2 linked regions of the Arabidopsis thaliana genome follow. The protein of the gene in region 2 interacts with the protein of the main gene of each other region in a pairwise test. Each region holds a gene or a part of one and is shown on either strand. Other genes may lie near its edges. The genes, in order: CINV1 and PIP5K9.

Region 1 (15,988 bases), on a different chromosome or scaffold from region 2:
TAGACAAAATACGAATTTTAAAAGAGAATTAATATATAAATCTAAAAACCCATTTGTATCCAAACATGTGGTGCTCATGCACCCAATAAAGTTTATCACTACAGTCTACACCATATAATTTTTTATTTATATTCGTTAGCTTTTTACGAACTGCAATCAATTCGAAATATTTGAAATATATGAGCGGTCAAAGAAGGTGTATTCAATTATACCCTTCAACAAAAGAGAAAAGGCATTCTGATAAATATTTAATTTATTCTTTTGTCCATTATGTTACACATAGAGATTCAACTATATTTCCTTTAAGTGACATGCTTTTGCATCGAATAAAAAGAGTTGCAAAACTCGTTAATTATTATGCAACCAAAACAATAAATCCATTTTCTTAAATAACAATTTGGCAATCCCGAAAAGCCAACCCTAAAACCCATATTAACATTGGAGTCCTCAACAAAAGTTGCAATAAATCACACATTCACACTTTTTAAAAACCAAAGAAATCATGAAGTCTTTCAAGGAGAACCATCTATAGTAGGATTTTGGTCTCTAGTAGCATGATCACTCACTTGATGTTGAGGCTTTTGCTCAAGACTCATTCCGAGACCAACCCGACCACCGTCTCCTCCTCCGCCGGAAAATAGCCCCAAATTGTTATTTTCTGCAACACCTAACCCTAACTGTTGACCTCCCACTAACATAGACCCTAGCTGAACCGACCCGATTCGACCCGGGTAATGACCCGGATTAAACGCCCACATGTGCTGTGATGGATCCTGAACGTTAGCCGGACCTCCTCCTCCTCCGACTGGTAACATCCAAAAAGCACTACCTCCGTTTGTGGAGGCTGGCGTTGGCGCTAGTGCCCACATCGGCGGTATCATATTTTGTGTTCTTGACCGGGTCGAACCCGGATCTTGATCAGGAGCTTCGGATCCCGGTTTAGGTGATCTTGAACCGGGTTCTTGATCTAGAAAATTAGGATCTTTAAAAAGATCTTCTTCACGGAATGTTTTGGGAAGAGAAGAAGAAGAAGAATCTGTCGTGATATGATGAGGATGATAAAGCTGTTGCTGGAACCCAAAAACGGCAGCGTTTTGAGCCGCTCTTCCCATGTGGAAAGATTTAGACAGTGGAGCTGAAAGAGTAGAGCCACTGCTTCGAAGAGAGATGTTCAAAGTAGAGATATTCGCCGGTATGGTTCCAGTTCCGGTGGCTGCGATGATAGCTGGCTCCGCTTGTTGGAGCAGCCACTCTATAGTCTCGCCGTCCGATTTGTGTTGTAACTCACGTGTTAGTTGGAAGACACGTGCTGCGCAGATAGCCGGCATACGTATCCTCCGGCCACGTCCGTCTACTTTGATGTGACGGTCCTTGGACGGTCGTTTTGCGGGTGTTTTAGCGGCGGTGACGGTGGTGGTAGTGGAGTTTGGAGCAGTGGTGGTTAATGAGACTGAACCGGAGATTGGTCCCATGGATGGGACCAGATGGGCCGAACCAGTGGTGTTGTTGTTGCTCTGGTTGTTGTTGTGGGACTCCATATTGCTTATAAAATTTATAAATTATGGGGAAAAAAACACACAAGAAAATGGAATAAACAAACAAACAAACTTGTACTGAATTTTTACTTATAACCTATAAATTCTTGGAGTATTTTTTTTTTCTGGTGGGGCTATGAGTTTGTGTTGACTGTTGTTTACTTGTTTGGAGAAAGAGAGAGTGAGAGGAAGAAGATGAAGCAGCTTGTAGAAAAGAGAGAGAGACTTTCACTTTCTTTTTCTTTTGTGTTTTATTTTCATTTGTAGTCCCACTAGGTTTTTGTAGTAGAGAGTAGAGACCAATATTTGCTGTTTCCACACCAAATGATCACTTAACCTTTTTTTGTTTGGTTATTATCACACTTACTATATTGTAGTATAAAAATAATTATGCGCCGAATGTATTGAATTTTGGTCTAACTTTGTGAGACTAAAACTATTTTTAGCAATGGACTATGAAAAGTTTGGAAGTGTTTTACATGATTGAAAAAGGTGTGGATTGTCTAAGATTATAATTTTGGGGCATTTTTGTTGCAATCTTTAGATTGTAGGGATCTATTTGTTGGTTTCCTTATAAAGTTTGGCTTTTAGGTTGGATTTTGCATGGGTGGGAAACGTTGAATGTTCTATGGGGGAAAAGAAAAAAACTAATCACTAATCATAGAGCCAATTTACACCCAATATAATAGTGTTTTAATATTATTTATTTTTTTAATAATTTACTGATAATAACACAAATGTCTCTTTCTTTGATTCTCTATTTTGTCTTTGTTATCCGAATTTGATGAAAGACTTGTTGAGAGATAAGGACCACTGTTTTTATTAACGATGATACTAATAATTGAAGACTATATATAAAGGCTTCAATTCTTTTCCCATCTGCCAAATTAGCACCCACAGACATAGGTTATATATAACTAATCATCTCAACTACAATTTTTCTCAACGAAACCTATACATCTCATTCTAGATGTGAAAACTGTCTAAGAATAGTCCAATTTCAGCCTACTATGTTATATGCACATGTATCAGGGTGTTAACAAAGTATTCGAAATCAAAAAGTTTTAAGGAAAATAATTATGCAAGCGTAGTAAATCAATTAGTTTATTGATATTCACGTTGCTCTTAGTGATTAACCATGTATGTATAATCATATTAGTATTAATGCCTATTAACTGATTTATTGCAATATTTTAATTCATAATTGAATATTTAGACTGTATTATTGTTTCATTTTTTATATCAATTAAATTCCTTTATTAGGTTTTATGTTTTTATCAATCCAAAACCATATAATATATTATATTGCTAGCTATACCATTCGGAATCTTAATTTGGACACGAGCTTGAGCTTTTTGGCTGTTCTTAATGTAAGTTACATGTACGCACCGTGAGCTAAATTATAGATAACAATGAAAGTGAAACCAAACCACTATAAAAAAAACTTTATATTTGAACAGTATATTTTATATAATTTATATATATATATATATATATATATGCAATTATATTTTGAACTGTATATATAATCTCTCTTATTTTTTATTTTCCTGAAAAATAATTGTTGAGACAGATGCACGTGTAAGCATTAGCAGTGAAAGAAAACAGTAAAACAGTCAGAGATAGTTGAAGAAGTACAAGAAGCGAGTGATAAAAAAACGTGATGTTTGGTCTGAAACTCTGGATCCTCCCACGGTCCATTGTCTTGTCTCTGTTCTCTCCAAAAAGTGAAAATGTTCATTTACAAGACCATATAGTATGTAGCCTTGTTCAAGATTCTGTTAGAGCACCTTCATTGGATGGAGACTCATTGAGTATCTAAGAAATAAACTATTAATATTTTTTTATATACATTTATTTTTAAATAAATTATTTTAATTGCTTAAAAAAGTATAAAAGTATCAACCAATTAATGTTTTAAATGTGTAGGCAAGACGTTAAAAATAAAATAAAATGGTGAGAGAGTGAAAGTGTTAATCACTCTTCGACCATATATATCTCTAAAATGGTGCTTTTAAATTGTTTTAGAATCATCTACTGCCTAAAAAGCCCATGCTTTACAGGTTTTAGCTTTGGGTTGGTCTTGTGTGTAGGTATGATCTCATGAGTTCTCATCCAAAAAACAATTCTACTCTCTTTCATTCCCTTTAATTTCACTCATCCCATTTTACATTTCTTGTAAAAAGTTTCCTCAACCTTTCACTTCTCTTTGATACCACCTAGATACATAGAATCTCGTATTTCTATAATCTTGTGATATACATCGTACTTTTTTTTTTTTTTTTTTTAATGTAATGTTAAATTAAATCCAAAAAAAAAATAGCGTTTTTACATCTATGTGCAACATTTTGTTGAAAAAACTGGAGCAAAAACTAGAATACAATCTAAAAATTGTTTCTCATTCTCTCATCGCAAACCAAGCTTGTAAGCCCTTGTCATATCTCTTATCTCCACTTGCTTTGATCGAACAAAGCTGGTTCCGAGTTTGTTTGTCTATTCATTTGATTAAAAGAGCTGCTGAGTTTGGTTTCTCTCCATGATTCCTTCCGTTCCTTTCGCGCCAAATGGTGTGTACCGTGGCTTGAAAGAGATATCGCGCAAAGAAACTGTCAAGCGGTGTCATCCAAGAGCCGGAGATGGCTTGTATCAGGTCTTGCCAATGTGTAGAAAATCTGTCTCCATAGATTCCTCTTGCTAAGTTACTCCAAACTATCGAAGCAAAGTCACAGGAGAAGAAGAGATGATCCCGGGTTTCGGGAGCGTTGTGACATAGCACACAAGCGGCTGACTGACCTCCATTCCAATGAGTCATTCTGTCTCCTGTTGAGAGTCGGTTAAGAACTGCTAACCAAACACAAAAAGAGTACTTTGGCGTGGAATGACCAAACCAAACACCCTTATACCAATCAACGTCCATGGATATGGTCCGCATATGATTCAAGGTCTCTTTAGTCAAGAACTGTGGCTTATATACGTCATTTTTACCTTTCCAAAGAACAATGTCCTCATCCTCTGTTCTATCGTTTCTTTGTTGTAAGAGAGCTGTTTCTATGGCCTGAAGGTGAGTAGATCTGTGTCGTCTTTGTCTATAGCCTTCCCAAGCCTCTGCTACTGTTTTATGCTTACTTATTCCAAGATCAATTTGCCCCCGATCACCTACAACATCGTACTTCAATATTTCTTCCTCCGATAATTTTAGAATACTTTTTCAATGCTTTGTTTTTCCTTCTCTCATAGCATGTGACTAATATTGACAATCTTCTAACTCGTCTTTGCATGAAATGTTGTGGGAGACTCTTGTCTCAATGGTTCTTCCATAGTTAATTTTTCTGTTTCAGTTAAATGTATTTCAAATTTAGCTTTTAAATTTTGTTTGGGCATGTCTGTCTTCTGACTTTGTAAATAACTTTTTCGTTTCGAGGTAATATATATTCACAAGTTATAAAGAAAAAAAAAAAATGTTGACGATCTTACTCCGTTTTCAAATGTGTTAACAGCCACTTTTTCTGGTAGATTTTCCGGTGAAAGCACTAATTAGAAAACCAGTTTTTGGACATGATGGAATCCTCGTCGAGAACATTATATGCTGGTGTATTGGAATGTCATAAATAGAGTTTGCTTCGGTGAGAAATGGAGGTGTAAAATAGCTAGCTTAGAAAACTTGAAATGTTGACTTAACGGTCAAATGGTGTACATTTTGAAGAAAAAAGGAGAAACTTAAACCACGTGTATTAATATTACCAAAAGGAGAAACTTAAACCACGTGAAAATCAGTTTGTTGTGCCATACCAAAAGGCCGGCGATGCTGTATCGTGCCGACTCGGGCTGGATATGTGATTTGGGAAATGGGCCAATGAGTCAATGACCCAATGATTCTTTTTCCAAAGAATTGTATTAGCCGACAAATATTTTTGTTTAATTGTTTGACACAAAATCAATGTACATCAATTCACAATAAAGTCTCATTCTTCTTTTGTCTACATGAACGTCGAGTGATGCCCATCAGAATACAAAACCAGGATTATTGTGCAGTTTATTTAAATAAATAGAAATATATACATTTTTGACATAAATGAGACAAGAAAATTATTTACATCATTTAAATAAACATCATCTTGTTTTACTATACTAAATACAAGACTATAGTCGATATTTAGTCAAATGGATTATCAGGATTCCTTTTCCTTTGTAAGAAATTCAAGCCGAAGAAACAAGAGTCCAGAGAGAAAAAAGAAAGTAAAAATAACAGAATCGTAATATTCCTCATTAAGTGTTTAATGTGTACATTGTAAAGTATTTATACTTGTCGATTAACATCACAAAGCTTATTCATTCTACTTTCTGATTTCAATTTATTTCATATAAATTATACGTTGCACTTGTAGTAAAAACACTATTTTTTTAATCTAATTTAACATTATTTTCAAAAAAAAAAAACTGTGATGTTGCGGATTGAAATTGTTCGATGTTGCATCAAGAAAAGATGGACGAAATGGATTTGATTCCATAGTTGAAAGAAGATCAAAAGATGATAGAGATTACTTTGAAAAGAGATTTAGAAGAGAATCGGAAGCAATTAGGTCAGAAAATGAAAATGAAGAAACTCAGATTTCACTCACGAACACGAATTGAAGAATCGCGAGGAAAATGATACAACATGAATCAGAAAGAAATTGAAAGAGATGAATGAGAACGAATTTCGATTGAAGAGAAGCTCATGATCGGAGAAGCTCTGATACAATATTAGGATTCTTTCTCCTCTATAACAAACTCAAGCTGAAGAAACAAGAGTTAAAAAAGAGAAAGTAAAAATAACAGAATCGTATTATTTCTCATTAAGTGTTTAATGTGTACATTGTAAAGTATTTATACTCAAATACACTTTTACCGTAAGAGTAAAATACTCATTATATGGATAAGTTTAATTTAGAATAGTGTTACATTATCCTAATTATATATGTACTGAAATCAATCGACCAAATGAGTGAGGCTTTTGGTATTGAATTTGAGTGGAGGCTAACTTCAAATCATGATTATAATAAAGATAATTTCACCTATTACACCAATAAGAATCGGTCATTTCAGCTTATTGAAAGATATTCATATTGCAATAGCGCCAAAATGCAAATTATTAAAAAAAAAGGTGTAATTTCGATAAAAACGGCAAACGAGCTTTTCCCATTTTCTTTTTCCTTACTTGCAAAGCAAGAAAGAAAGCAATCAATAAAAAGTCTATGTCCCCGCACAAGTTTTCAATAACATTATCATACAAACAACAACAACAAAAAATCATATCGTGGCAAATATTAGAACCGGAACAAAAACCTAAAGCGGTTTTTCAGAGTTGTGGCCAAGACGCAGATCGCTTGATGACTGGTTTCATGAGTTTGTCTTCTTCAAGAGAGATCATACCAATGTGTGAAGGATCTTCTAGCAACATTTTCGCCACTAAGTAACCTGCGATTGACCAAGTCTGGTATTTCCTTGCCTGTTTTCCAACGTACCTTCCGAGCTTACCGTCGTAATACTCTGGCCAACAGTCTCGGTGAAGACGCGATTCTATGAGGTCAACCGCGCGTCTTGCGATCTGCGGTCTCCCTGTCTTAATGCACGCTGCTGTTAGCTGCCACAGCAAAACTGTACATTGAGCAGAGAAACAAAAAGGCGGTCAGATTCTGTATTCAATTTTATTGACAAATTTAACACTACACAACATGATGTTCATTATTCAATCTATCAAAACATTTCAAAACAAAATATATCAAAGGTTGCCACAAATGTATATATTTAAGAAAGAAATGCGATCATAAGATACAAAAGTTGAACCAAACTAAAATGTATCTATACGTTCATATGAATAATCCAAACCACAACCAAACTGTAGCTAAACTAAGTACTGAGTTTTTATAACTAAAATCTAGCTAAACTATCTTAAATGAATATTTCTGTTCTTATGCCAGTCTACAAAAAAAAATTGAAACCCAAATCAAACCGAAAAAAACCCTAATGGCTAGGTCTAGCGAAAATCTCAGTTAAGCGAGATAAGAAATGTCTCATGCAATCAGTCTCCAGGGAAAGAAAAAAGACCTGGCCAAGATCCACCATTGTGGTAGCTCCACCGTGTGTTCTTGGGGTCACAGCCAGTAACGATGCGCCACTCATGGCCCTCGAGGCATGGATAACAAATCTTGAGAGGCATCTCACCTACAAGCTCTGCCCACCGGTGCTCAAGGAGGTCCATAATGGCCATGGATTGATCTGGAGTGGCCAATGAAGAAAGTATGGAGACACAATTACCGAGTGCGAACCACCGGAAATCCATATGGGCAGGTCCTACGTTTCCCACAAAGTAGCCTCCACGGAGAGGCATGAAGTCGAAAACCCACTCGGGTATAGAATCAGGCATCACATTGAACTTGTTCACCGCCGTGTGAGAGTATTCCTCAGTCTTGAACCTTTTTAAACAAATGTACTATAAGTTATAGTGATCTTTTGTGACTCTACATATCATCTAAAGCAAATGAAATAACTATACCTGTAAATGTCATTGAGGTTCTGATGATCAAGCCAGAAGTAATTGCGCATATGGAAGCTCAAGGCATGAAGTCGCTTAACGATCCTCTCAATGACCTCTCTGCCATCTCCATCGGGCTTTAACATCGACAAAGCAGATCTCAAAGCCATGAAGAACAACGCTTGGATCTCAATGGGATACCCATAAACACCCTTCAAATACAGGAAAAAAAAGAAATCAATCTTAATAGCCAAACAAAACAAGAAACAACAATCAGTTTCGATCAAAGATTGCTTTTAATACCATTCTTCGATCAATCATGGAACATCCATCAGCACAAAGCAGTGTAGGAAACGTGTCAAACCCTTCAGCTAAGCACAAAGACAAGATCAGTTTCATTCCCTTTTGACACTCTGGTGTCTCAGAGAGAGTCAAATCTCCAGTAGATTTGGTATAAGCACGAAGAAGAATAATCCACCAGAACCCTGAATCTACAGGAGCCACACGTCCAATAGCACTCTCACCGAAATCCGCAACAATGTTATCCGTTTCACGGATAGGATCATGAAGCACCTTGAAACTTGCAGGCATCACACCTTCTCCTAACTTAAACCGATCCACACGTTTCTCCCAACCTTGCAGCTGAAGTGTCTTAAGCAAAAAATGCTTCACTATATCCGGTTCTCCATTCATCAGAAACGCCAACGCACTCGGTACAAAATCCCTCACAAACACCTACAACAACCGCAAAAAAAACATTTTGAAACGTTTTGAGATAAAACCATGAAAACTTTTCGATAGTTTTACCTGATCATAGTTCAAGACTTCATCGGTAGTATTATCAACCGCGGCAAGAGTACCAACAGGTTGACCACGGAAGAAGACCATTGACCTTCTTAAAGCCTCCCAAGCTTCAGCCATCATAGGATGAGGCTCAAAGGAGTTTCTAGCAGAAGAAAGAGGCGTATCAAGCACCGATCTACCTCGCGGCGAATCGTGTATACCGTCATGTCTACTGTAACCAGTCGATAGCTCACTCATCGATCTTTCATCAAACGATCTCTTCCTTTCGATCTTCAATCTTGGTTTATCCAAAGCTCGAGTCAAATCAAGATCATCCATCTCAGATAAAGAACAGTGTGATCCTACAGCTCTTAGTCCAACACCTTCCATTATAACACTAAACCAAGATCTAAAATCAAAACAATAAGATCAATGAGATTGTTATAACTCCTAATCCAAAAAAAAAAAAAAAACTCGTGTAGTTGGAACACGCGAAATAAACACATTGCATCTAATTTTTATTCGAATATAAAATTATGCTTGAAGCTGTTCTTATTCGAAATCATAAACAGATCAAGATCTATAACGAGAAACAGAGTCAACTTCAAGTAAAGCTACAGAGACCAGAAAAAAATCAGATCTAAAAATCTACCAAACGAAATCGAAAGAAAGGAGAAGAAGAAACAGTGAGAGAGAGACCTCTGGTGTTGAGTAAGTGAGAAAAGTCGTCGGCGGCGGCGGTGGCGGTGGCGGTGGAGGCGGAGGCGGAGGAGGAGAAAATGATCTCCGACGTGAAATGAGAGAAGAGAGAAGACGGAGAGATTTATAGGAGAGGGAAGAAGAAGGAAAAAAAAAAAACGATAGAGTGAAGAAGATTGATATTTATAATGACGGAGAAACGGAAAAGTTTAACGGAGTTTCAACGGGACTGGTAAAAGAGAGGAGAATTTTAGTTTACCGGTTATAACCGGTGAAAAAGGTAGACTTTGTGAAGTCTACGTGGACTAAACGACGACGGATTTGTGACTTGGGCTGATTTGGCGTTTGTGTTTTTCTTCTTGGAAACTTGTTTTATCGGTTGCCCAGTTTTTTTTTTTGACCGATACACCAAACTTTTTTTGAAGTGTTAGGTGGACAGTACATTTACTAGGTATTTAATAATAATATATTTACTATGATTTTTGTATTAATTTTTTAGAAAATTGACAGCCTCTAAATGTATTTATCTCTCCAAGTTGTTAGGGTTTATTCGAGGTCGTCCCAAGTTCCAATGTCTTAAGTCCAATATTAGATCCGAATCGGACTAATACCTCTTTAGTTATTACTAATCGCAAAAATAATGAGTCCGATTGGTAATACAAATTTGTACAAATTTTTTTGATGTTAACTACAATTATAAGAGCTTTAAAAATAGTGTAAAACTGTAAAAAAATAAGCAGAGAAAGTTGTATAATAAAGTTTTCTACTAAAAATTTTTGTAATGTTTTTGATAAAAATTTTGTGAATGATAATTGTCAAACATATACAAACTGTAGTGTTTTGATAATGAATTACCATTCAAAGCTGATATCCAAAAATATCATGTAAAGTCGTTATTTTCTAATTTTTATTAGTATTATTTTTAATTATTTTGGTATTGTTTATAGTTTTTTTATCTGTAAAACAAATTTATATAATTTTAAGTCACCAATCAAATCAATAATTTACTTTTCTTCTACATTTTTGATAATGTGCAAAGTACAAAACTGTACATTTTTATGAACCTAAAAACTAAAAGGGATAAATAGCTATCTCAAATAGAGAATCAAACTAGATATTCAAGGTCAACTTCTTTTCTAACAAAATTTGGAATAATTTGAAAATTAAACAGTTTTCTCTATTTCTTTTTTAATTATTCCATAAAAACATTGAGTTATTTTACTATTTTCCTGCTGAAAAGATTCAAGAACATGAAAATTCGTAAGTTATTTACGTTTTTGTTTCTCAAATCGTAAATGGGGTTGTTGTAAAAGTAATTATATTTGATTTGGTTTTGTATATGGAAACGTGGAATTCAATATTTACGTACGATTCAAGAAAAATTTGCGTGGATAAAAATACAAAAGGCTTTGGACCTACATATCCGAACCGGATTTGCTAACTATTTATGGGGAACATATAATTAATGCAGACCAAATATAAAAGTCAATATAATACTAATATGATGGTCAGAAATTGGAAGAAATTGATTTATATTAATATAGTATCGCAATGAGATAGACATCTATACGTGGAATCATCATCATTTGGTATTATATATTTTCTTAAGGAAAAAATGAGGAATTTTACTAATTGTCAACATTGTAACGTATTGCAAAAGGCAGTAGGAAATATTTATGACAAGATCTTTCGAAAAAAAAAAATTTTGTCGCCAGAATTTTATTAAGAAACCAAAGTAGGATACCATTTCAAATATAAAAGCCGGCAGACCAACAAAATGTCTCGAGAAATTAAGCTTAAAAGAGGGTAGCTAAGCCCCAAAGAAACGGAGAAACTATTTAGACCAGCAATGAAAACAAAGAAACAAATATCTAAAAAAAATCAACCGTTAAGAAAAAACGAAGATTTAAGCACTAAAATTGCGCAAAGGAACCAAAAGCTCTCACAAAGCTTCCCCAAAGAAACGGTGAACGTCGGAAGCACCAATAAGATCGGAAAGATTTCACACCGAAGTCAAACCAGTAGCAATCCGACAGGGAGGAAAGCAAGAAGCCACCAGAACGAGAGACACAAATACAAACACCATCACACCTCACCAACCAAACCGAGATAGCAAATGCACTAGGGACAAGACAAAAGCCTTGGAGATCGACAAGAGATAAGCCAATTAAGATCACTAGTTCTTACACGCGGGCCCTCGTCGAATGCAGCTTCCGCACACCTACAGACAAAAAGCTGATGACGTCCCCCAGAGAAGAACTAGAGAACGAATCCATTGCTTTGCCTAGAACCTAACTCCAAACAAGATAGGCTAGTAGGTAGCTCAGCAACGAAATACCATCAAAGTGGCCAACACCAAGAACGAAACCAGTCCAAAATGCAACTCCGAACAAGTAAGAGGACACAATAGAGAGGTAGAGCAAAGATCTAAAGATATAATCCACAAACAGAGTCACCACCATCGATACAAGTCTCCCAAACAAACATGTAATATAGAAGAAGAACAATGAGACAACGAGACTAAGCCACAAAAGTTCAAATCCGATCTGGGAGGGGAAGAACCATACCGTCGAGAGTGTCCATCAACAACCACAGTAGCAAAGGATCTGATAGATCCGTTATCTAAGCTCCAAGACACCACTCAGAGAAGCAACTCACCTCTCTAATAATCTCCAAATCCATCAATTAAGAGCTCCCTCACCAAAATTGCAGATCTAAAACCAAAATTGCAGACATCAAAATTCTCGTCGAACCACCACGCAACCACACCGAAGAGAAAGCAAAGACTACAGACTAAAACTAAGACATGAGGGACCGACGCCGGCGCTATGAGAGCCGCCACGCGCCGGCCAAGTTTTGAACAGAAGAGAAGCGGCACTAAGCGAGAGAGAAGGAGGCTACTAGGGTTTTTTCCCTTTAATGAAAGGTGTATCTATTTTCAGATCTTTGGAACATTTTAAAACTATAATTTTAGAATAGCATAATGTAAAATGCAATTTCGAAACTTGTCACACAAGATAATATAATATCCATATACTCTAGTTAAAAGGTAAATATATTAATTGACAAATTTTCATCAAAAAAGGTTTTGTTTTTGTAATAACTAGGTAATGTTATGCATAATTAGGACAGAGCACAGCCAAAAATGGGGACACTTCTGTTTCCCATAAATTTTAGCTACGACATTTACTTCTTCATTTTTTGTGTAATTCAATTAGCACAATTTTTTTTTTTTAATTTTTCATAGTGTAAATGTAAAAACAGATAATTAGCATGAAAGATTCGTACCGATCTGCATCATACTACATTTATCTTTAATTTCTTGTAATACAAATAAAAAAACAGATAATTTGACACAAAAGATTCGTATCAAACCGAATCATACCACATATATAAACAATATTCCTCGAAATTAACTTTTTTTGAGTTCTAATTAATATCGATTGTTAAAAAAAAAAAATTTAACTCAACATCAGTAATAAGCACCGTACCGTTATCTTTTCTTGATTTATTTCTATTTTTATATAATTTAATTCAATATTTTGTTTATTTATGTTTTTTTTAATTGCAATCTTTTTGTGAGATACTAAAATCACCACACCTGATTTTAACATCTACCACACTCACGTATAACAAATACTATTGAAAAATCATCACCACATGCTATCGACTACTATTCAAAATTGTTTCAATAACTTATCTATTTCCAATCTTTACATCAATCGCATAAACTGTGTTTATTAACGTTTATAAACGCAAATGCTTGTTTTCGAACATTCCAACAACCGCAAGCACATTCACGATGCACTTTTGCTATAATGATTTCTGGCCTAGTGGCTTTAACAACTGACATCGTTAATCAAGTCACATTACCTAAACTAACTAGCTAGTAAGCATGAATTTTAACCCCAAAAATATATATATATATATATATAGTAAGCATGAAGGGCTTTAAATCCTATTGTTCTTGGGTTAAAAAAAATTTCTATGTGGACCAAAAAAAAGAAAGACTTGCACTACTTCTTATAATTTAAATTTGAAAGATTGAATTTCATTTTCTATACCATCAGTCATAGCTATAACAACATTCTATAAAAACATTCAAACATATTTCACATTTATACCTGTTTATACAAAAGTAAGTTCAGAATATGAGGCATATTGCGAAAATATCTTTCAATATTTATATATATTTATACCTGTTTATACAAAAGTAAATTCAGAATATGAGGCATATTACGAAAATATATTTCAATATTCACATATATAAGCTATAGGTCGAAAAAGGTAAAACAATTAAGTATATTGAAGATTCACCCAACAAATATTTTATTACTGTTATCCAACTAGGACTTCACAAATTATATGCTATGAATTAAAATTATACTAGGAGTATAAAACAGGACTCTGGAAAACTATCAAAATAACATTAAAGAAAATGATATGATTGGCTAAATAGCTATCCTGTAAGGGAAATTGATGTAAATTATAAGGTGGTTAGAATATAAGGATAACATAATAACATATCGTGGAATAGATGCTTTGATTATATAAAATTAAAATAGCTAGCTATATCTTGTAGAGGAAAATATTTAACAAAAAAAAATCTTGTAGAGAAAAATGATATAAATTATAAGGTGGTTAGGATTTAGGAATAACATATCGTAGAAGAAAAGCTACCAAGAAAATGCAATACACGTCGATGAATAAACAAATAGTGTTTAAGCTGTTAACCATATGTTCCTCGTGTTCCTTCTTTCAGATCGACAAAAATATCAATTCATAGAATAATCAAGGCATGACTCGGCACAAATAGAAGACTACCAAACCATTTTTTTATTAAACTGTAAACTTTCAACCTAAAACTAATCGGCGATAGGTATACAAATTCATATCTTATATATACCACTTAAAATCCTACTCAACTTTTAATGTAAAATATTTTTAATACGATCTCTCAAGATGATGATTTTTCTAGCCATTAATCTTGATTTATTCGAGCATGGATCGATGGGGCAAGTATTGGGCCGAACTGATATGGATTAGATTGAGTATGTGTAGATCGGGCTCTGATACCATATTAGAAAAGTATGGATCGAACTCTCATATCATTTGAATAGTATTAATATAACTTTATAACATACAACGATATATCATCGGGAATAATTAATATTCTCTCTAAAATAAAAGTCAGAAAAAAATATTTAGATATCCTCACAGAACGAAATTCCAGAAAAATAAAACATACAAACAACCAAAAATATAAAATGATAAAGTAAAACTTAGAAAACAAACTAATAAATCTCTAATATGTGAATTAACTAGGAACTACCAAAACCGAAAAAAAAAGTCTGAACTAAAACCTAAAAGATCGATGCACATTATTTATCTTGTGGAGAGAATTAACCGAATCGAAACTCATTGTATAGCTCTTATCTCTACAAAGAAAGTGATAGAGCATTAGGATTATCTTAGATGCTCCAAACCAATCCGAGAAGTTGATAACCTCAAATCTCACTATAAAAGTGTACTGAACTAAAGTCCTTACAAAAATGTAATTATCTGTATCAAATGAAAAAGTAATTATGTTCAATATATATATAAACATTAACAATTAAGTTTAAAACTATGTAAACTCATAAATTAGATCAATGAACATTGCCGAGTCTCTCTTGTCCAGTGGCTCTACCATTCGGTGGTATTTTGGCATTTGCAAGACAAAAAAAAAGAAAGAAAGCAACTTTACGTTACAATCATGTAGTCTTTCCATAACTAACACAAACGTTTGAGATAAAACATGTACAATCGTTTTCATTGAATTTAACGTTACTGAAAAATGTATCTTTTTATATAATGATAGAATTCACGAAATAAGATATAGAATAATATATAAATGATATTAGCCAATAATTCTTATTCGATTTTGATTTAAAAACTTATAGAATTTAATATGGTATAATTACAGTTTGGTTTTGTTAACCCAAATAAAATGTTTCAAGTGTCGTTTATTGCTAGTTCTAGAGTGTGATTAAGTTCAATGTTAGAGTTATCATCTTGAAACGGTTTGTTATAAATCTCACTTCAAAATTGTGGTGGATAATAAAGTATAAATAACATAAGCTAATCCACTTATTACCTATTGATTTTGAGTTTGAAAACAATCATAAAACTTAATGAAGATGGTACCAAGTATTATTATTACCGATTTTGAATTTGAAAACAATCATAAAACTATAGAGTTGAAATCCATGTACATAAAAGAAATTGTTAATCCATGTATTATTATCACTACAAGAAAACAGATAAACAACGACTACAGAAAGCGACAACAAATGTAGTCGTCGTTTTTGACGACTACGTCACGACCGTTTTACGACGCATATACGACAACATGAACATTAGTAGTCAATTAGTCGTTATTTTACGACTAAATATGTTAGTCGGCAAATACTCGTAT
Region 2 (13,241 bases):
CAAAACTCCAACTTGCTGTAGAATTGGCAAACAAATAGTCAAATGCAGTAATTTAGTGTTTGATATACAAATTAAAGACCACTAATTAAAGGGACATGTACATTTGTAATAGCTATGATACCATGAACACTTTAATTTTTAAAACAAGACTGTTGTTTCAATTTCAGTTCATATAATTAGTGATTTTATTTTTCTCTTTTTACATACGGTGGTGAGATGATTTATATCCAAGTAAGAGGGAGAATATTGCCCTAGTACCAAAACAAGTATGAGAAGGTATGGCGTACTTTAAAAGGAATAGAAATCGAGATCGAGACTTTCTCTTTGGACGTTTTCTTGAGGTATACGGATTGAAGTATCGATTTATGATTGGCCAATACTTAAAATTTTATCTCCATCGGATATCATTCCATACTATATGCTTCTCTCGATCGTTAATTCGCTGAATAGACTCTCCACGTTAAAATACAACTAAAAAAAAATGATTGATGATGAAGAACGTTTTTTGGTCTCGCAAAATTAATAAATTATTAAAGTAATGGGACTGGGAATATATATATATATATATAACAAGAAAGAGAAAACGACAATATAATGGAATTTTCTTTTAGTAAGTGGTAGCCAAACCCCACTACTCGGATCGGTGGCTGTAGTTGTTTGATTTTAGATAATATGCAAAACTTAAGGTACTTGGATAGCTAGGTAGATATTGTGAAATTACTCAGATTCTAAAACGAAAATATGATGATATGATCATTTTTCTTACTAATATACTGTATATCATTCTCGATTGATGTCTAAGTCTACTAATAATGGGAAAAGATAAGTTTTGTTTTAAAAAAAATAGAAATGAGAAAATAAAAGTTGTGGCTATAAATGCCCTATATTACAGATTTATACTCTATTTTAAGACATTTTCATAAGACGGTAGATCGATTCTATTTCTATTCTTCTGGTTTTTCTCGCGTCTCATATGTAATTCGTAAGTTGTACGTAGCATGGGGATATCATACTTTTTTCTATACTTTTTTTTGTCATTATAAAGTCCTTTTTCTATTGTTAATTAAGCTTCCTTTTTTTTTGGTTAGTACGTTTCCCTGAATACAAAAATAATAATTAACTTTTTTGATCACTAGCTAATCCCAGCATCATTATAATAATGCACCGAAAAAGATATGTAAAAGTGTTTAATCATATAGCACATCACAATGACTACATATCATTAGAACATTCCTTCGTTAACAGTATTGAATATTTATACTACTTTCTAATGAATACGATTAAATTAATTCCCTCATAATTAATACTACTTTATAGCTAACCCCCAGATCTCGTTATTCAATTAAGAGTAAGGCATGTAATGCCGATTTAGACTGATTTCAAAAGATTTTCTCGAACAATAAAAATATGTAATCAACTTCTTTTCTTTTTCTTTCAAACTCAAATTTGTTGGGTCAACTTGTAGTATATTCAAACTCAAATTGGTGAGCAGAAGTTGACTTAAAAATATTGGGAAGCACGTGGATTAGTGTAAGAAAAACACAATGTAATGTTTCCCTTCACCGGCCAAGCAGGTCAACATCTCTACCTTCTAAACACACATCAATTTTTTGTTGAATATTATATTTCATCGATTAAACAACTAAACTTATATTTGAAAAAATATCTCAAACCACTCGGATAATAGAAAGATCAGAGTATTGATAATTATTAAATCTTTGATTATTTCACCAGCTACAAAACTTTTCTAAATAGATATGTATATAAACAAAACCACTCTTGTAAGAGTAATAAGTGGGGTTAGATCAGAAAATACCCAAAATAAAAGAATAAAAGAGGCATTAATTAATGCAAAGGTTATATCCGTCATTTTGGTGTAAAGTAAAAAGCTTGAATTTTTATGGAAGCTGAAATAAGAAGGCTGTTATTGTGGCGCTTAGCTTTCGGGATTTGGTCCAGTCGTCTCTTTTAGAAAGATTTGACCAACACTGAGGCTGAAGAAGACGAAGAAAGAAGAAGAAAGTGAAGAGCTTTGAGCTTGTCCGTACGGTTTGTGAATCTCCTTTACTTCCCCAGTTTCCTTATTTAGTGAGCTTGATTTGGTTTTTGGATCCGGTTTCATTCTCGAATTCGGGCATTTCTCTGTTTTTGGTTCTCTTTGGATTGAAGAAGTCTTTAACCGGGATCTTCGGTTTTTGTTGCTTTCGTTTTATCTTTGTTGAAGATTGAAGATTGAAATGGAGTTGCTTGTTGATTGTGTTAATCAAAGTTTTTAACTTTTGTTTCCATCGACACGACTCTGATATGTACTTATATAGAGCTCTGATGGGGTTTCATTATGAATTTCAAATTCAGATTGAAACATTGAAACTTTGTTATGAACATTTTTTGTTTTTCATTTGCTCAATTCCTAAAAAGTAGGATTCTTTCTAGCTTTTTGGTTTGGTAAATTTGGCATACTCTGCCTTTATTTGGGAGACGTGGAGGAATCTCTTCTTTTTAAATGTGAATTCAATATAAAAGTTTAGATTTTTTTTTATATAAAGGCTTTATGATTGTAGACTCGTCTTCTTCCATAAAAGGCTTTCTTTTTGATAGGAAAAAGGGATTTTTGTTTGCTCCTCTCTCATTCTCTGCCTCTCTCTGTGAAATTTAGAAGTTCTTGTTCTTTCAAGTGGGACCAAGAATCAGATGCGTGTCTTAATTTTCTTGTTTGATAGAGATTTGAGCAAGTCTTTGCTTTTGTGACCATTTATCTATTTTCATGTTTTCCTCATTAGTTTTAGATTATTGCATGCATCAAAAGTTAGTTACTCTTTTTTATTCTTTCTGATTCTGATTCTAGATTCATACATCGTGACTTGGAACCTGATTCTTGCATCTGCTTTCTTCGTTGAATAGCTGAGCACATTCTGTTTCACCAGTTTACTGGAGGTAGCTTCATGTTTTGTTGAAAGAATGTTCTCCTTAAGGCTGTGAAGCCTTTTGCTCTGCGGTTTGTCTGAGCGTTTCTGCTTTAGCTTCTTTGGAGATTTACATGTCTGGCCTTGACGTACGAGGAGCAGTTTCTTTTGCTGAAAGAACTAAATCTGTTGATGCACTTACTAAGAAAGAGATCCTATCGGCGCTAAACAGTGGAGAAGTTTCCGAAACTTCTGAGGATGCTAGGTTCAGAGTTAGGGAGCTGGTTCTCCCCGATGGCGAATCCTACAGTGGTTCTTTGCTTGGAAATGTACCCGAGGGACCAGGGAAGTACATATGGTCAGATGGGTGTGTTTACGATGGAGAATGGAGGCGTGGGATGAGACATGGAATTGGAAATATGAGATGGGCTTCCGGGGCATCTTATGATGGTGAATTTTCAGGCGGTTATATGCACGGTTCAGGGACCTATGTGGATGCTAACAAGTTAACGTATAAAGGAAGATGGCGGCTTAATTTGAAACATGGGCTCGGATATCAGGTTTACCCTAATGGAGATGTCTTTGAAGGTTCTTGGATTCAGGGATTGGGAGAAGGACCAGGGAAGTATACTTGGGCTAATAAAAATGTCTATCTCGGGGATATGAAAGGCGGGAAAATGTCAGGAAAGGGTACACTTACTTGGGTTACCGGAGATTCCTATGAAGGAAGTTGGTTGAATGGAATGATGCATGGTGTTGGTGTATATACGTGGAGCGATGGAGGTTGCTATGTTGGGACATGGACACGGGGTTTGAAAGACGGTAAAGGCTCGTTTTATTCAGCGGGAACCAGAGTTCCGGTAGTGCAAGAGTTTTATTTAAATGCTCTTAGAAAGAGAGGTGTTTTGCCAGATATGAGAAGACAGAACCAAGTTGCTTCCTCGGTTAATATGGAAAACCTTAGAGTTGGTGTGAACCGTAATAAGCTCTCAAAAGGGAGCTTAATAAACTTAGAACAGTCCCGCAATGGAAGGGTTTCTTTAGAAAGACGTTGGAGTCTTGAAGTATCTATTGAGAAAGTGATTGGACATGGTTACTCGGATTTATCTACGGCAGTTTTAGATAGCGGAAGTAGTGTGCAGTATAAAGCTAACATACCAATCTTGGAGAGGGAATATATGCAAGGTGTTCTGATCAGTGAGCTTGTGGTAAACAACGGGTTTTCGCGCACATCCAGAAGAGCAAAAAGGAAACACAAAAGACTTGTTAAAGAAGCTAAGAAGCCTGGAGAAGTTGTTATTAAAGGTCACCGGAGTTATGATCTGATGCTCAGTTTGCAGCTTGGAATCAGGTATGCTTGCTCCTTCTAAACCTGTGCCCTGTGAGCGTGTTTAGCTCTAAATTCATCACCGAATATTGTTGTTACTGAACTAGTTCAAACGTTAGATACACAGTGGGGAAAATTACGCCAATACAAAGACGACAAGTTCGGACAGCAGACTTTGGACCTCGGGCTAGTTTTTGGATGACTTTTCCTCGAGCTGGCTCCACGATGACTCCTCCGCACCACTCGGAGGATTTTAAATGGAAGGACTATTGCCCAATGGTATTCAGGTTAGAACTTGTGTACTGCATACTTTTTTCTTAGTAGTATGTTAACTATAGTAGTTGTGTCCTTGGTGTTTATATTCATTGCTAAACCTTGTAGAAACCTGAGGGAGATGTTCAAGATCGATGCAGCTGATTATATGATGTCCATTTGTGGAAATGATACTTTAAGAGAACTTTCTTCTCCAGGGAAGAGCGGCAGCGTCTTCTTCCTGTCGCAGGATGATCGGTTCATGATCAAAACACTCAGGAAATCTGAAGTCAAGGTTTGTGACTACTTACATATCCACCATCTCTGTTTTCACATTATCTTCTTAGTTTTCTCCATGTCTTTGCGTAGACTCTTTGTCCGTCTGCCCATTGAGCTTCCAGATTTACTGTGTAGGTTCTTCTGAGGATGCTTCCAGATTACCATCATCATGTGAAGACATATGAGAACACCCTCATTACTAAATTCTTTGGCCTTCACAGAATCAAACCATCAAGTGGTCAAAAGGTCCTGAACCAAAATACCTCAAGATTCTGATTTTGATTTTTTATTATCATTAGCTTTGAAGTTGCCGACATTGCTGCCTCTAAATATGATGTAGAGTAGAACTCTAACATTAGAGCAACATTTGGAAATCCAAATCAATCTTAAAACTAACTATGTTTGAAAATTTCTCTTCCATTGCAGTTCCGTTTTGTGGTGATGGGTAACATGTTCTTTACAGATCTAAGAATCCATCGGAGATTTGACCTTAAAGGTTCGTCCTTGGGACGCTCTGCAGACAAAGTCGAGATAGACGAGAACACGATACTTAAAGATTTAGATCTGAACTACAGCTTCTTCTTGGAGACTTCTTGGCGGGAAGGTTTACTGAGGTATTACTCTCTCCAGGACCTTCTTGTAAGATATATACATTTATCAATCCATATTCCGCAGTTTAAAATTTCTTTTCTTGCTGTGTAAACAGGCAACTAGAGATCGATAGCAAGTTCTTGGAAGCACAGAACATAATGGATTACAGTCTTTTGCTCGGTGTGCATCATCGAGCTCCACAGCACTTAAGATCCCAATTGGTCCGTTCTCAAAGTATAACAACTGATGCTCTGGAAAGTGTAGCTGAAGATGGTGAGATTCTTTTTTTCATCACCTGTAAAATGATTCATACTATTTTTCTTCTACTGATGATGATGAAAGCAGATACAATCGAGGACGACATGCTGTCTTACCACGAAGGATTGGTTCTCGTTCCTCGGGGAAGTGAAAATACTGTAACTGGCCCTCACATCAGAGGCAGCAGATTACGAGCATCCGCTGTTGGTGATGAAGAAGTAGATCTCCTTCTTCCTGGAACAGCCAGGTAACTAACTCTCACCTGGTTGGAAAAATGAAAAACTAAGACTTAACAAATGCTGATGACAAATAAATGGAATACATATGATCCAGACGACATGGAACTGATTGAAACTTAGTCCAGTTCGGTTTTTGAAAAGAATCTCTATAAAATGCAGGCTGCAGATACAGCAAGGAGTGAACATGCCGGCAAGAGCAGAGCTGATACCGGGAAGAGAAGATAAAGAGAAGCAGATTTTACATGACTGCTGCGACGTCGTACTCTACCTTGGCATTATAGACATCTTACAAGAGTACAACATGACCAAGAAGATTGAACATGCTTATAAATCTCTTCACTTTGATTCTCTTTCGATCTCAGCCGTTGATCCAACATTCTACTCCCAACGTTTTCTTGAGTTCATCAAGAAAGTATTTCCACAGAACAACAAATCATAGACAGAGAATTGAGTACAGAGTTTTATGTTTTTTTTTGTAGAGATAAAAAAGAATTCTATGTTGTAAGTATGTTGTATACAGATCTTGAGAGCTTCAATAAATAAGTAAAAAACTAATTCTCCTTTTCTTGATTGCATGAAGTATTTGGTTTAATTATTAAAAGGCAAAAATATAAATAATCAAAAGTCACAGAAAAGCCCTAACGTGTTGTCTTCTTCTTCTTCTTCTTTTGAAGAGTAAGAAATCAATGTCGTCCCTGGAAAAGAAGAGGAAGAGGAAGACTACGACTAGGACAAAGAAGAAGAAGCTGTCCCCAAATCAGTCAATCCCTATGATTTGCTATTGGACATCATCGCACGCGTCCCAAGATTGTACTATCCGACTCTCTCACTCGTTTCCAAGAGCTTTCGATCCCTCCTAGCTTCACCGGAGCTTTACAAGGCCAGCAGGTCATTCTTGGGTCACACCGAGCGTTGTCTCTATGTGTGCTTACGGTGCTGTCCTGGTTATCGCTGGTTCACCCTGTGTCGGAAGCCAGATCAAACCCTATCCAATGACACCACTGAAAAGAAGTCAAGTGGGTATGTTTTGGCAACAGTCCCCATTCCTAGTTTTCATAAACCGCGCTTTTCGAGTCTCGTGGTGGTTGGTTCTGATATCTACTACATCCACGGGCCCTCCTCTAACGTCTCGATTCTGGATTGCCGGTCTCACACGTGGCGCCAGGTTCAAAGCTCGATTCTAGATTGTCGGTCTCACAGGCGGCGCAAGGCTCCAATCTTGCCGGTGGAACATTCGTCACTTACTGCTAGCGTCCTTGGTGAAAAGATATATGTAGCAGGATGTTACAGCGATATGCATTTAGGTTCTTCTTTCTTTGAGGTGTTCGACACGAAAACGGAAGTTTGGGTTAGTGAGCCCATCCCTTACAGCGACAGAAAATACAACTTTCTTCACCCCAAAAGCATTTGTATTGATGGAAAGATCCATGTAGTGACTGACAGTGAGGGGGTTGTTGCTTACAATCCCAAGGAAGGTATATGGTTGGATTTGGATCAGTATATGCGTTCAGATTCTTATTGTGAGATAGATGATATTTTGTACTCTGTTTATAGCAGAACGGTTATATGGTATGACACTGAGGCAAGCAGGTGGAGATATTTGGAGGGCTTAGGACAACTTACGTTTCCTCTTGGTGCTTCTATTAGGGCTTAGGAAAGTTAGCGGTTTTGTGGGACGAGGATTTGCTTTATGGTTTGACTAGTTTCGTCTATAAGAAGAAGATTTGGTGTGCGGAGATTTCGCTTGAAAGAAGCAAAAGTTGCGAAAGTTTTGGGAAGTTGAATGGTTTGATCATGTGCTTACAGTGCCTAAAGAATGTGAATTGGTGAAAGTTCTTGCTGCTACTGTTTAATAATTGCGTCACAAGGCTTGAAACGAGGTCTCTTTGTCTCTTTATTCACTTGTAATCATTTGATTTCACTTGCTGATTGATTGTTAAGCTTACTTTGTTGTGACCAAAATGCTTTTGATAACTACGGTCGTCTCTTTACATATGTGTAAACAAAACAAAAAAACACTTTGGAGAGTAATTGATTTGAATGGTTAATTTTGCAACAGAAAGAGTTTTTTTTTTTTTTGGTTATGTTTTAAAGTGTAAAAAAAGCCTTTGTTCATGTACTTGTTCCAAAACTGATAGTAACTTGTAATCCATACAAGTGAACTTGTGAACACTCTTTATAACAACTTATCTTTCATGAGAGCTTCACTAAGAAAACTAGTTTTCCTTTGTGTTTTTTTGGGTCTGAATCGCCGCAAACCGCAAAAGATAATTGCAAACGTAACAGTAGTGCTTTGATTGCATGAAATATTTGGTTTTATAATAAAAAGCTAGGAAAAAATAAAAAAAAATTTGGGAGGGAGCAACAAACACGTGGATACAAAACAAGACGGACTTTGGAAGAAACGTTGAAACAGAAACAGATACGTGTCGTGAAGCGAAATGTCGGAGAAAGGAGAAGAAGCAGTAAAGAGTTCTTTAATGTTTTTGACAGTATTTGTTCAACAATTCTCATTAACGTTTTTCATTATTTGTTTTCTGCTCTGTAAAGAATAAAGTTTCTTAATTTGTTGTATGAATCATAGATTTCTCTGCAGAGGCAAAGTTTTCTCTCTTCTTTTTTCGATTCATTCTTTTACAAGATAACATAAAAATCACTTCTTTTGTTTGTTTGTTTATCTAAGTTGAATTTGATTTGATCTCTTTACTGTAGTATTAGATAGAGTGAGAGATTGTAGAAGAAAATGGGATCTTCTTCTGGGCAAAGTGGGTATGATCTATCTTTCAAGATCTTGTTGATTGGAGATTCTGGTGTTGGTAAAAGCAGCTTGCTTCTCAGCTTCATTTCCAGCTCTGTCGAAGATCTTGCTCCCACCATTGGTAATTTATCGTTCGTTCTTAACAGTCTTAGAGCTAGAATCTTGACTGGTCAAACTTCAAATATCTCTTTGTCGACATGATTTTTTTTTGCATTGAAGGCTAGCTTATTGTTTGTGAGCTAGACCACTGTCTGGTCAAAATTCAAATGAAGTTGAAGTTTGAGAACTTGAAGTTTTCTTTATGATTTTCTGTTTGAAAATAAACTCGGAAAACATAACTCTTGATGCTTATCTGAATTTGAAGCCTGCTTGAGTCTGATCAGTATAACATTGTAGGTGTTGACTTTAAGATCAAACAGATGAAAGTAAGAGGGAAAAGGCTGAAACTTACAATCTGGGACACAGGTAAAAAAGCAATAAGAGCAATTCGAGTTTTTGGAACGTGTGTAGTTGGTTACTACAAAACTCATGGTCCATGTGATTTCTTGTTTGTGATTGTTGTGTAGCTGGACAAGAAAAGTTCAGAACATTGACAAGTTCTTATTTCAGAGGCTCCCAAGGAATCATTCTCGGTAATGATATATGAGATCATATAATTGTCAGTAGCTGTTGTCGTAATAAGTTCTCAAGACTTGTATTAATACTCTCTCCGGATTTTCTTGGTCATGGTGCAGTTTATGATGTCACGAAAAGAGAGACATTTTTGAACTTGGCAGATATTTGGGCTAAAGAGATTGAGCTATATTCGACTAACCATGACTGCATTAAGATGCTCGTTGGCAACAAAGTTGATAGAGTGAGTAGCAGTAGTAGTAACACTTGTAGTCAAACAACTTGAGATCGGTTTCACTGATAGTTGTCATTGCAGGAATCAGAAAGGAAGGTTAGCCGGGAAGAAGGAATGGCTCTAGCGAAAGACCTCAATTGTTTGTTTCATGAATGTAGCGCAAGAACCCGAGAAAACGTGAACGGATGCTTCGAAGAGCTAGCTTTGAAGGTAAGAAAGAATCTTGATGATCCCTTTTCACTTTCAAAACCGGTCGAAACTGAGGAAAATAAATAATAGGAGAGTTGCAAAATGAAACAGATAATGGAGGTACCTAGTCTTTTGGAAGAAGGATCAAGCTCTGTGAAGAGAAAACCGGATTACCGAGCTCATCAAGGCCGGTGTTGCAGCTCGTGAGTCACCTTGTTAAAATCGGGTCGGAAGTAGCCTCTTTTGTGTGTAAATTTCTCAAGAAGCTTGACTTCTCTGTAAATTTATCAATTCCTTCGATCTTTCTTCTTCTTGCCTCGGCGGAGATTTTGTAATAAGTTTGTAACCCCAGAATATATGAAAAAAAGGCACTTCATGTTCTTATTATCTCGTGATTACTTTTAGTCTGAAATTTTATATCTGTCACAAAACACAGGAACGAGATAACTCTCTAATTTCGAGCCTTGAAGCCGTAGCTTACACACATAACATCTGCATTTCATTAATTCAAAGTTTAAGCACTTAAACATTGTCTACCATTACCAGTACAGTGTTTGGCCATCGAGATAGCAAAATACACACAGCTATCAATTAAGTCTATCCTCCTACTAATAAGAACATAGGACGATCCCTTGAATGATGCGAAGAAGATTAAAGACGGTAAGAGATTAGAAACAGGTTCAGAGAACTTCTAAACATAACTGCAGCAAGCTGATTTCTCATTTGTAGAAGACGATGAGGCTTTGTTAGCATCTTGTTTAGTGATCTTGATCCCTTGGGGCTGCAAATCAACAAAGACAGTATTTGATTTTCCTCAGCAATATTTACAGTTTCATAATCCGAGTATCAAGCGAATAGTAGATTCCATGTGCTTCTTTACCTCGGCTTTTGTATCGCTTTCTGTGAGTCTTTGTTTTATGTCTTTAGCGATAGAAAGGAAAACCTGCTCGACATTCTGGTTTGTTTTTGCACTCTGCAACAGTTTCCAATCATATTTAAGAAAATGAAAATCTTCAAACAAACAATGAATGAGGAGACAAACATATTATATATTTTCGCACTCACCGTCTCAAAGAATTTGATTCCATACTCATCAGCAAGAGCTTGTCCTTTTGATGTTGGGACAGCCTGTAGAATAAGATGCAGCATCAGTATCCTACGAAATGTAGGCAAAACATGGTCAGGATTGTGAACAGAGTACAGAGCAAAATTACCCTTTTGCTTTCGTCCATGTCGGCTTTGTTACCGACCAATATCTTGTTGACACTATCGGACGCATGCTGCTCAATGTTTTTCATCCAGTTCCTAATGTCTGGAGAAGCAATTTGTGTTAGTTCCCACACAAAGGTGACTTTTAAGTTCTAGTAAGAATATAGTTCCTGGTACAAAGAAAAGCCAGAAGACCTACTGTTGAATGATGACTCATCTGTTACATCATAGACGAGTAATATACCCATCGCTCCTCTGTAATATGCTGCAAAGAAAAATGGACCAAAAGAGTTACAAAGAAATGTCATCTGAACTTTATTAACAAGAAAGAAAGTAAACAAATAGACTTAGAATGATGAGTAATCATCTAACAGAGGAATCAGCAGATTCATACACAAAACATAAAGAGTGATCTTCACTTCACATAGAGCAGAGAGAAGTTTTAACCTGTGGTTATAGTTCTAAAACGTTCTTGTCCAGCAGTGTCCCATATCTGCAATTTGATACGCTTCCCATCAAGTTCGACTGTTCTTATCTTGAAGTCGATTCTGAAAAACATGAAACGTACTTAAACCGAACTTTTCAACAATCTAACAAGACAAGATACAAAGTCAAAGAAAGAAAGACATACCCAATGGTAGTAATGAAACTCGTGGTGAAAGTATCATCCGAAAAACGCAGTAACAAGCAACTTTTTCCCACACCTGCGTATACACACACACACATAAGTACGAAATGAAGAGAAGAAAATTTAACACAAAAAAATGATGATTTGTGCAACTCTATCTGAACTCATTGTAAAATCAAGTTAATAAAACTGATTCATTAGTTCTTCACAAAATCTAAGTTTGAGATATTGCTTATAATTGAGCCAAAACTTCCAAAAGGGAACTACGTTGATACTTCAATTAAAAGAGAGTGTAGCTCATCTACTTTGTTGATCAAACACGAAAGAAAAACAAAAAACGCAAAAAAGTTCAAAATCATAAACCTAATTCAGATCGCAAAACAGGCAGGAGAGAAGATTCTCGGATAAAAATGCAATAGTCTCTGAACCTCGTTTGTTCAGTACTTCTTAAGAGATAGAAAGGCAGAGACTTACCGCTATCACCGATGAGGAGAAGCTTGATGAGATAATCATAGTCTGAACGAGCTCTTGCCGGCGCAACCGCCATCGGAGAAGATGTTAGTAATCACTATTCTGTATCCTCTTTCTAAACAGAAACTAAAACCGAGCTTTTGCTATTTTCCCCCGGAAAATCTCTTCTCGCCGGAGACAGCCAAAAAGAAAGGAAAGAGGCAGAATAAGTGCTCTGCTTGCTATCAAGTTCAAAGCTGCTCATTGGTGGATCATATTTTATTACTTTTTACTGTTTTAGTCTTTTATTTCTCAAGTATTCACACTTCAATCCACCAACTTATTAAACCGCTCAATTTCCTTCTTGTTAATATAGATGTTTGAAATGTTTAAAATTGATTCCAGTTTTCTTACAAAGAAACTAGTATATTTTGTACTACTCAAATCTGATAATAATTTCATGATTAAAACCGACACGGAAGTTCTTAATTCCATAGGTATCAAAATTTGAAACCTTTTGTATATGAAACCACCAAAAAACAGGATTAAGAAAAAGTTAACATTTTGCTACTACTTCACTGAGTCGCCAAAACTGGCCAATGAACTCTGCAGATTTGCAGCATCACTAGGAGATCATTGAGTTGTTTATCGCTTCTTCGAGTATCCTCTTAGCATCAGTGTTTAAATCAGCTAATTCACCTGGTGTCTGCATTATCACAACCTTGTTATTATCGCTAACCATACTTCAAAAGCCAAAGATAGAAATTGCTTTCAAATGTTTTTTTTCACCTTCCCATAGGAGTTTTGTGTCGTTGGTGAAGCCCCGGAACCCAGCAAAAACCTAACCACGTCAACATGTTCACCTCTTGCTGCGTGATGCAGAGGCTGTGAACAAGAAAAACTTTGGGATGAATTACATTATAGAGAGCAAGAGCTAGAGGGAATGAGGCAATTGAAGATTGAGAATACTTACAGTATCACCTTCTATATCTGCTGTTTCAATCATTCTCTTCACACATTCAGGACTACTAGCTCGGCTAAAAAGAAGCTGTACTATTTCCAAGTATCCTGCGAGCCCAAGTTAAAGAGAAAGAACAATAAGCCACAGAATGTGACCATGCCGTGAGACAGAATTACCAAAAGAATGGTAGGACCATGACAAACTTTACCTCCAGCACAAGCATCATGTAGAGGAATTGCTTCGTCTTCATCTTTCACTTCCATATCAGCTCCTCTTTCTAAGAGCAGCTGCAGTGAAAATCAATACAAAAATTAATTTACAGATACATTAGCTATCAGAGTCGATGGAAA

Evidence for each region.
Region 1: the proteins of PIP5K9 (region 2) and CINV1 interact in binary tests that used the Arabidopsis thaliana proteins (3 or more experiments, as listed by UniProt).

The regions. Positions count from the first base shown.
Region 1 is NC_003070.9:13,115,587-13,131,574, forward strand, and holds CINV1 (cytosolic invertase 1), read right to left. Parts: upstream 9,743-15,988; 5' UTR 9,532-9,742; intron 9,242-9,531; 5' UTR 9,223-9,241; coding exon 8,857-9,222; intron 8,785-8,856; coding exon 8,353-8,784; intron 8,262-8,352; coding exon 8,071-8,261; intron 7,991-8,070; coding exon 7,623-7,990; coding exon of another isoform or gene 7,597-7,622; exon of another isoform or gene 7,173-7,596; coding exon 6,874-7,172; 3' UTR 6,496-6,873; downstream 1-6,495. Other genes in the region: AT1G35560 (TCP family transcription factor), read right to left, coding at 513-1,538. UniProt on the Arabidopsis thaliana protein: Cytosolic invertase that specifically cleaves sucrose into glucose and fructose and is involved in the regulation of multiple tissue development including primary root elongation, root hair growth, leaf and silique development, and floral transition.
Region 2 is NC_003074.8:3,033,473-3,046,713, reverse strand, and holds PIP5K9 (phosphatidyl inositol monophosphate 5 kinase), read left to right. Parts: upstream 1-1,794; 5' UTR 1,795-2,049; exon of another isoform or gene 2,050-2,845; 5' UTR 2,846-3,037; coding exon 3,038-4,254; intron 4,255-4,349; coding exon 4,350-4,517; intron 4,518-4,611; coding exon 4,612-4,777; intron 4,778-4,896; coding exon 4,897-5,007; intron 5,008-5,187; coding exon 5,188-5,375; intron 5,376-5,467; coding exon 5,468-5,625; intron 5,626-5,697; coding exon 5,698-5,857; intron 5,858-6,008; coding exon 6,009-6,288; 3' UTR 6,289-6,324; exon of another isoform or gene 6,325-6,411; intron 6,412-6,527; exon of another isoform or gene 6,528-7,699; intron 7,700-7,914; 3' UTR 7,915-7,934; downstream 7,935-13,241. Other genes in the region: RABC2b (RAB GTPase homolog C2B), read left to right, coding at 8,593-8,728, 9,004-9,072, 9,174-9,239, 9,342-9,463, 9,536-9,664, 9,755-9,850; RABE1e (RAB GTPase homolog E1E), read right to left, coding at 10,335-10,424, 10,524-10,616, 10,709-10,771, 10,858-10,955, 11,052-11,117, 11,300-11,400, 11,484-11,556, 11,955-12,027; AT3G09890 (Ankyrin repeat family protein), read right to left, coding at 12,556-12,636, 12,720-12,815, 12,904-12,998, 13,100-13,178. UniProt on the Arabidopsis thaliana protein: Plays a role in sugar-mediated root development. Interaction with CINV1 induces repression of CINV1 activity and negative regulation of sugar-mediated root cell elongation.